2 linked regions of the Rattus norvegicus genome follow. The protein of the gene in region 1 binds, or shares a complex with, the protein of each later gene. Each region holds a gene or a part of one and is shown on either strand. Other genes may lie near its edges. A codon is read from its position in the direction of its gene.

Evidence for each region.
Region 2: the proteins of Atp6v1a (region 1) and Atp6v1d are in contact, whole or in part, in a cryo-EM structure (PDB 9B8P), measured with the Rattus norvegicus proteins. Residues at the interface, in NP_001101788.1 of Rattus norvegicus: Ala366, Met368, Pro369, Ala370, Asp371, Ser372, Asp416, Ser418, Asp436, Lys438, Glu491, Gln494, Leu495, Val496; in NP_955418.1 of Rattus norvegicus: Lys4 (codon at 1,449), Asp5 (codon at 1,452), Arg6 (codon at 1,455), Arg167, Ala171, Val175, Ile176, Arg179, Tyr186, Glu190, Arg194, Glu197, Tyr200, Arg201, Lys204, Ile205, Lys208.

The regions. Positions count from the first base shown.
Region 1 is NC_086029.1:70,098,355-70,102,166, forward strand, and holds part of Atp6v1a (V-type proton ATPase catalytic subunit A), read left to right. Parts: intron 1-112; coding exon 113-275; intron 276-919; coding exon 920-1,028; intron 1,029-3,812. UniProt on the Homo sapiens protein: Catalytic subunit of the V1 complex of vacuolar(H+)-ATPase (V-ATPase), a multisubunit enzyme composed of a peripheral complex (V1) that hydrolyzes ATP and a membrane integral complex (V0) that translocates protons.
Region 2 is NC_086024.1:103,402,335-103,406,625, reverse strand, and holds the start of Atp6v1d (V-type proton ATPase subunit D), read left to right. Parts: upstream 1-1,279; 5' UTR 1,280-1,439; coding exon 1,440-1,480; intron 1,481-4,291. UniProt on the Homo sapiens protein: Subunit of the V1 complex of vacuolar(H+)-ATPase (V-ATPase), a multisubunit enzyme composed of a peripheral complex (V1) that hydrolyzes ATP and a membrane integral complex (V0) that translocates protons.

The sequences.
Region 1 (3,812 bases):
AATTACCTTACAGGTATTTTTCTATCAGTTACCTACTTTGTTTAGCAGCATACATTAGCAAGCCAACAGCATAATAAACATTTCTTCTGATTTTTGTTCTGTTGCCCTTCAGGTGTGTTCAGGGAGGAACTACTGCTATTCCAGGTGCTTTTGGCTGTGGGAAGACTGTGATTTCCCAGTCTCTATCCAAGTACTCCAACAGCGATGTGATTATCTATGTCGGCTGCGGTGAAAGAGGGAATGAGATGTCAGAAGTTCTCCGGGACTTCCCTGAGGTCTGTCTACAGAAGACTCCACATAACCGTCTGGAGGAGATCTGCATGTCAGCTGTCACTGACAATAGTTTATGCTCCATGGGCCAAGAATGGTGCTTTCGGTTGTCAAGATGCTTTCAAAGAATTTTAAATTATATTTTTGATTAATCTGTATATTTTAAAAAAGGAAAATGAATTCTTTGAAGTTTCTCTTCTTTATGCTCACTTAAGAGAAAAATAAGGCGGATAAAAGAAAAAAAATTATATTTTGACTGGGTATGGTGGCATGTGCCTCTAATTCCTGTACTTGGGAGGCTGAGCCAGAGGGTCAATAGGTCAGGGCTAGCCTGGACTACATGAGACACTGTCTGAAAAACAAAGTGTGAGAAACTGAACATTTAAATGTGAGACTTCACATGGGCTCTGTGGTCTAGGTTACTGTAGTAGCATGTCCTTTTTCGTAAAAGAATGGATTTCCTTTGTTCATTTGAAATGTCCAAATGAAATTGCCCATTTGTCAGAGAGTCCTGTGGAGCAGGAAAGAGAGGTTGGCATGATGGGGGTGGTCCTAAACAGAAACAAGTTACAATGTTTAAGTGGGAGAAACTAAATTGTTAGCGTGTTGGACTTAAACTGGAGCTCACTGATGGATTTTACACCCTTAGCTCACTATGGAAGTTGATGGTAAAGTAGAGTCCATCATGAAGAGGACAGCGCTGGTAGCCAATACCTCCAATATGCCTGTGGCTGCAAGAGAGGCCTCCATTTACACTGGTGAGTTAGGAGTTGGACGAAAAGACTTTAACACCTGTTCTCAACTTTTAACACTAGCACCCAAATTTTCTTTCCCAAAGAACTTCATCTTTAAAAGACTCCCATATAATCACTTTCCTATCTTAAGAAATATCTGATTTATTATGTGTATCTACGAATAAATAAGCATAAAATTGTTTAAAAGAGTGTGTATGCCTGTGGGTGTGTGGTGTATCTTTTTTTTTTGGTTCTTTTTTTTCGGAGCTGGGGACCGAACCCAGGGCCTTGCGCTTCCTAGGTAAGCGCTCTACCACTAAGCTAAATCCCCAGCCCCGTGTGTGGTGTATCTTATCCACATGCCACACGTCTGTGTGCCCTTGGAGGACAGAGAGCATGTCAGATCCTCTGGAGCTAGAATTACAGGCAGTTGTGAGCTGTCCGGCTCGGTTCTGTGGACAGAACTCAAGTGCTCTGCAGAAGCTCTTAACCTCTGAGCCATCCCTCCAGCCCCAAACGTAAGATGTTTGGTGAGCTGCCCCAGATGGTCGTCTTCACCTCCTCCTCTCTCTCACTGACCCCCTGCTCACCCTCCCCACCCCCCCCACACACACCCTCACCACCCCTGCTCACCCTCACCTCCCCTGCACACACTCACCCACCCTGCACACCCACCCCTGCCCTTTTGCTACTGTTGTTGAACACATCCAGGGCCTTCCTTGCACATACGAGGCAAGCACTCCTGAGCTACAGTCACACTTCCACGTCTCTTAACACTCATAAAGCAATATGTTTACCTTCTTAATTTTATTATCCATCTGTATTTTAGCATCGTACTATATGAATACTATATGAATATGAAAGATAAGAAATTTGCTATACTGTGTCTTTTCTCTTTCAGCCTCAGTGTTTAGGGCCTTTGTTTCTCCATTTTTAGGAATTATTAACTCTTTATTTTGTTCTAGAACTAGAGAGCCAATATTATTTAGACTTTGGCCTTCCCTAAATGGAGCCAGTGTTCCCTGTGGCTAGTTTAGTTTCTCTCGTTATTTCTTGTTTTATTAAATGTGTCTTTTGGAAGTTTCTGCAAGAAAGACTCACAGAAATCTTCATTTTCCTTGAACTCTTGCTTTCTTCATAACTTTCCAGGGTTTTTTTTTTCCCTGTTGCCTTTAAACTTTAACAGTTGTATTTCTGAACTAAAATGATTAGACCAAAATTTTTTGTAACCTGGTAGTTTTTATATGTTGACTTTCATAGACTTCATGGGTTACTATAGTAATACTTACTTTGTTCATGAAAAAACAGGTTTAATTTTTGAGGTAAAAGGACTGTCTATTCAAACCTTAACGGTGGTTTGGCTGGGTACAAACTTCTTAGATCAATATTATTTTGCCTGAGAACATTTATTTAAGCAGTAAATATTGGGAGCAAAATCTGAGAATGATTTTCCCCCTTTTAGAAGTGACTTTTCTTGGTCCAAGGAATTTCTCTTTAAATTTGAAGTCTCATAGCTTTCATAGGATCTGTGGCAGCGTTGATAGCTTGAATACTCCTTCCTAAGCCATGAACCCTGTCAGTCTGTGAATTTGTTTTTTTATTTTGAGAGATTTGAGGTTGTATCTGCAACCTTTTCCTCCATAGACATACTGGAGCCCTTCTGTTTTCCAGGTCTGCCATCTCCTGTCCTGTCTTTTATGTAGACTCTCATGTGTACACACAATGTGTAGTGTCTGTTCCTAGTGTTGCCTCTAATGAAGCCTACATTTCCATACTGGTTTTGGTTTTCTTCCAGGTAGTTCACTGGGCCACACTTTTCGTCTGGTCCTTGGCAGGCACTTTTGCCATCACCGTACTTCCTTCTACATTGTTTTTATTTAAGTATCTCGGACCATTACTCAGCTTTGTGAGAGATGGGTGGAACTGGCTGTGGCCGGTGCAGTGGAACAGGAATTCTTCACGGTTACTTGTGGAATTTGTTATGGCCCGCAGTTGTGTAATTATTTTACTGTTTCTCTTCAGCAAGCCATTGGTAGCGAATCCTTTCCTCTACCTGCCGCACCCATGCTGTGTCATGGAGACAGGGAGCACCTGCTCGTACTGTGTTTCTCCTCCATCTTTCTGCACCTCCTCCATGCCCCCTAGGCCCAGGGAGCTCCTACTCCGGCCATTCTGCTCTGTAGCATGTGGGGCCCATTCACAGAGCTCAATTCGAGTTGTGTCACCTCAGTGAGTCCTTGAAGCTTCCCTGTTCCTGGATCAGTTTTCACGCATTTGGATCTTTTCCCTGTTGTTTTAGCTTAGGGCTAAGTGTATCTTCGCCTTAGACACTGGATCTATAGTGCTGTCTTTTACTCTTCTTGTTTGGTTATAACTTATGAAAAGGAGAAGAAAGTGGCATATTCATGTACTATTTAAGATGGGAAGTCTACCTCATCTCTCATATGGCTGCAGTGTTCCTTCATTGGATAGAGCAGAAACATTTTTTTATAAAGATGCTTGTATTTTAAATTCTGGGGTGGCATTGCATGAGTGCAGTGCCTGCAGAGGCCAGAAGAGGGCATTAGACCTTGGAGCTGGAGTTAGGGGCCACCGGCTGGCACTGGAGTCTGAACGGGCTGTGAGAGCCATCTTAACTGCTGCACTGTCTCTCCAGCCTCAGTAATCATCTAACCAGCACACGCTGGTTATGCTTTAACTCTGACGGCCATTCAAGCGGTGTGGTAACTGTGAGAGAGTTTGTCTCTCATCTTCACCAGTGCTAATCCGGTTAGCAAACAGAAAACATGAAGCAACTGAACGAAGCAC
Region 2 (4,291 bases), on another chromosome or scaffold:
TTAAGAGCTTCAATGTGAACACAGTTAACGCTAAAGTTTTTCTTAATCTCAGGCTTTCAGCGCCCACTATAAGACTCTAGTTTTATTTTCAAAGTTGCCCAAACAGGGTAAATAATCGCCTCAGCAGCATGACTTCAATAGCTGATTTCCAATTCCAGGAATTCTTTCTTACAGAAATGCACAACTAGAACGGAAAAACAACGACCTTCAATGCTAATAGTTACGTTTCGGATTTTTTTTTTAAACTTAAATACGGTGGTTTATCCTATTGATTCTCTGACTAAAAGTTCAGTCTCCAAAGAGTCAGAAGTTTTGGTAGTATCCTAGAGCTGAAAAGAAGAAAAAAAAAATGCTCAAATTCTGAGGCCCGGTAAAAGCAAAGCGCCCAATAGTCCTGAACTAGGGGTGGGATGTCGGAGCGTTCTCCAGAGGCCTCCCCACCACAAGACATCTTTAGGGAGGCTGTAAAAATCTACTTGGCCCACGTTCCTTCACGGGGTTCCTCCGCCCGTACAGCCACGTTTCTGGTTCACAGGACCAGACACCGGTTGGCGAGAAGGCGCAGGAAATATCCAGCGGGCCGTGGCGACGTTGTCCAGATACTTCCCGCGCAAGAACGGGAAAGGGGGGGTGGGGTGATAGCCCGGGGCCTAGACCACTCCTATCACTGGACATAGCTACGGCGAATTCTTGGGGAAAGCAAGGTGCGGGGCCAATCACCTGAAGTGTATGTGTGAATCCCGAACTAGGGTCCCACGCCGGGCTCCTTAATGGCAACGATGAGACTCGGAACACCAACACCGGACGGCGAAGCTCCTCAGCGTGCGCTTCGCCCAACCCAGCGCGCATGCGGACCCACCTCTCACTGCGCAAGCGCCGACGGAAAAGGTCCTTCGTTACCACTAACCATAGAGTCTCAGTCCTCCTAATATGGGCGGTTTGAACCACAGGGCGAGCTGAAAAGTAACTTTCCTTGGTATTTATAGACTTTGCGGAGGGAGTTTGCTAGGCTTAAAGAAGAGGTAATGTTCTATTTCTTGCTCCAGGATGATTACTTTAAGTTTTACTCAATCAAGAGATGGCGCTGTGACGAAAGATGGAAAGCTGAGGAAGAGGAGGAGCGTGATCTTCTCCGGACCCATCACTCAGCACTCGCTGAGTGCGGGCCACTCGCCGGAGGGAGGGGCAGTGAAGAGACCCGGAATTCCGGGACTGTGCTCTCTTCCACATCCGGGCATTCCTAAAGGCCCGCCCTCTCCTCTGTCCTCTGGCAACAGGAAGCGGAAGTGGGAACCGGTTTCCTGGTTGCCTCTTAGCAACGCACGGGGTCAAGTGACACCGTCAGCTGACTCGGGTGAAGGAAGGCTCTGTGGTAACAGTTCTGGAGGTGTTGCGGTCCCGATTGTCCCACTGGGGACCCGAGCCGAGTCACCGTCAGAATGTCGGGCAAAGACCGGATTGAAATCTTCCCTTCGCGAATGTAAGTTAAAGAATAGAACAAGTGACACCACGTTCAGGCACATCTTCCCGGAGCGCATTCCTGCGCACTCTTGGCCACCAGCGGGGTTTCTTGTTTTCTGGGCCGACCTGAGCTTCCCCAGGGTCTTCCCCTGAGTTCCGATTGAGGCTTCTTTACAGCCCCCTTCACCTATTCCCCCTGAGAGAAGAGGCTGGAGAAAGTGTTTCCAGTCCAAAGGAAAAGGGGATCCCCTGCTGGCTCTTTTTGGAGGTCGATGTCTTTACTCATTCATTCCACACACCTTCTGAGCCATTCGCGGAGTTTACATAACCGAGCGGTCGCCATCTCTGCCTCACAGGGCTCATCAGTGCTGAGGGATGAGACGTAGAAGCTAAGATGGTCTGACCAAAGCTCTCAGACGGGGAAGTTAAGTGATGGGAAGCAAGTAGAAGGTCTCTAAGCCAAAGTGACATCGAATGTGTCATCCTCTCGAAGCTGTAGGTTTCAGTCTTGGATCCCATCACATGTTACCTGCTGTAGGAAGATATTCCTGCATTTCTGAGGTATTCCTACAGCCTTGTGATGACTGCTCTCTTCTACCCTAGCAATGTCACTCATGACACTGTCACACGGATATTTATTTGGGCTGTCTCCTGGAAGAAGGAGGCATCTTTTTAATGCATAAAAGGTCCACAGAAAATTGTTCCCTTTGCCTTGGGATGTGCTCAGTTGCAGGCTGCCTTTCTGCTTCGGCCTAACATCTTTGTTAGGAGAAATAACATTTGTAAATGAAAATTTGAAGTTTTCTCAAATACATATAATAACTCGTGGAAAGTAGAGATTATTCTTATTTATGTTGTCATCTTCAGTTGTCCCTGAAGAAGGAAATCAGATTTTACTCTGATATTTTGGGGACGGTTTAGGGTTTTGTGTATGTGCGCGAGCGTGTGTGTGTGTGTGTGTGTGTGTGTGTGTGTGTGTGTGTGCGTGCGCGCGCGCGTGCGCGTACGCATGATACTGTATTGTTTTCCTTATCCTATGTTTTTTTTTTCTCACAGATCTGACAACTCTTAGTTATATTTAAACCCCAGAGTGAATTTCTGTCTCTGCCAGGGTGTATGTAGTTCTGAATGAATGAAAGGATTTAATTATTTAAAAAAAAACAAACCCCTTTTACCTTTCTCCCCACTGACTTTGAAATGGCAGGTTATACTAACTGTACAAATGGGCTAGTTGTGGAAAAATACAATGCTTGTGAAACAGCTAAAGATCAGGACTAGCCGAGGGTGATCTGAAAACCCAGCATGTAATGATCCCATCCAAACTTCACTGAGACACCAGATTCCAGCATGGCTTCTGGAAACAAGGCTATGCTCCTAGGGTGGCCCAATTCTCCCCCGAGACCCTAAGTCTAACTATAATGCCACTGAGTAATATCTCAAAGGCAGAGCTCTGGCCTGTCATGCAAAAGGCTCTGGGTTGAATCCCCAGCACCTAAAAGTAAAAATAACCACGCCTGCCTCAAACAAACAAAGCTCAGAGCCGATAGGAGAATTAAATACTTGTTTTGGCTGACACCTGATCAGTAGATCCTAGACCTTTCTTTGAAAGAACATTTATTAAAAAGGGTTTTTAATTGACTATGGTTTATAGAATTCATAAGCATGTCAGGGATCTGAGAGGACCCTTTACAACCACAGTGGCCTCGCCAGGCTCTGCGTTCTCTGAGTCTGCTTGAGTGTTACTCATGCCCAGGCATGTCTGTGGGAGCCAGGACGGTGCTCACCTTTTTGCTTTGCTGTCAGTGGACTTACTTATAAATAATGTCTGGCCATATTTAATCACTATTCATAATGCTGATATGTTTATTTTTACTTTGCAACTTTTAATTTAAGACTACAAGGTGAAAAATGGACTTCTTTGGGCTCAGACAGGAGAAATGATAGGTTTGTGATCGTGAAAACAGTTATTTGAGAGCACTCAGCTTGCTAGTTGAGAGGAAGTCAGGGGTGCGAAGTAAATGTTTCCCCCAAAGCTTGACAGCAGGTTCTTTGTCATATAGTCAGATGTCTTTGATTCAGCAGGAGACAAAGTCACTGTTTTAGTTGAAGGTCAAACCTCTCGTTTCCTTTTTGTGTGTGTGTGTGTAGGGCTGAGAAGCTCTGAAACAGAAAAGAACAGGTTTAACAGCCATAGTCCAGATCACACAGTACTGATAGTGCTTTCTCCTTCATTCGCTTGGTGGTACTGTCCTGTGGAATGTTGCTTTTATTCATGTATCACCAGAGAAAATGAAACAAGCTTGGATGGAAGCAAAGGAGGTCCAAAGGGATGTGACTCTGATGATAGAGCACTTGGCCAGCATCCACAATACCCTGGCCTTCAGTCCCTCCTACTACAGAAATCTGGATGTGGTGGTACATACCTGAAGCATAGCAGGATCAGGGGTTCAGAGCCAGCCTGGAATACATAAGAACCCGTCTCAAGGGGAAAAGGCAGAAAAACTGGAGTTAATAGAAGTCAGGTAAACCTTGGTTCTTGTGAGTGTTGGGCAAGTCACCTCTAACCCATTATTATCTATCCCAGGCTGACCTTCAGCTTCCAGTCTTCTTGCCCGGGTCCCAAGTGTTGGGTTTACAGGTGTTCACCACTCCATATCCAGCTCCAGTCGCTCTTTAGTCTCAGTAGCTGGAAAGTTTGCATTCACAGAGGTATAGTCATCTAGAATGACCTTTAGTTTATCAGTCAGTTCAACCATAAGCTCCAGACTTGTAGGAATCTGCAGTGCTGGGATTAACCTTAATTTTATCTAACTTTCTTACCCCTCTGCTT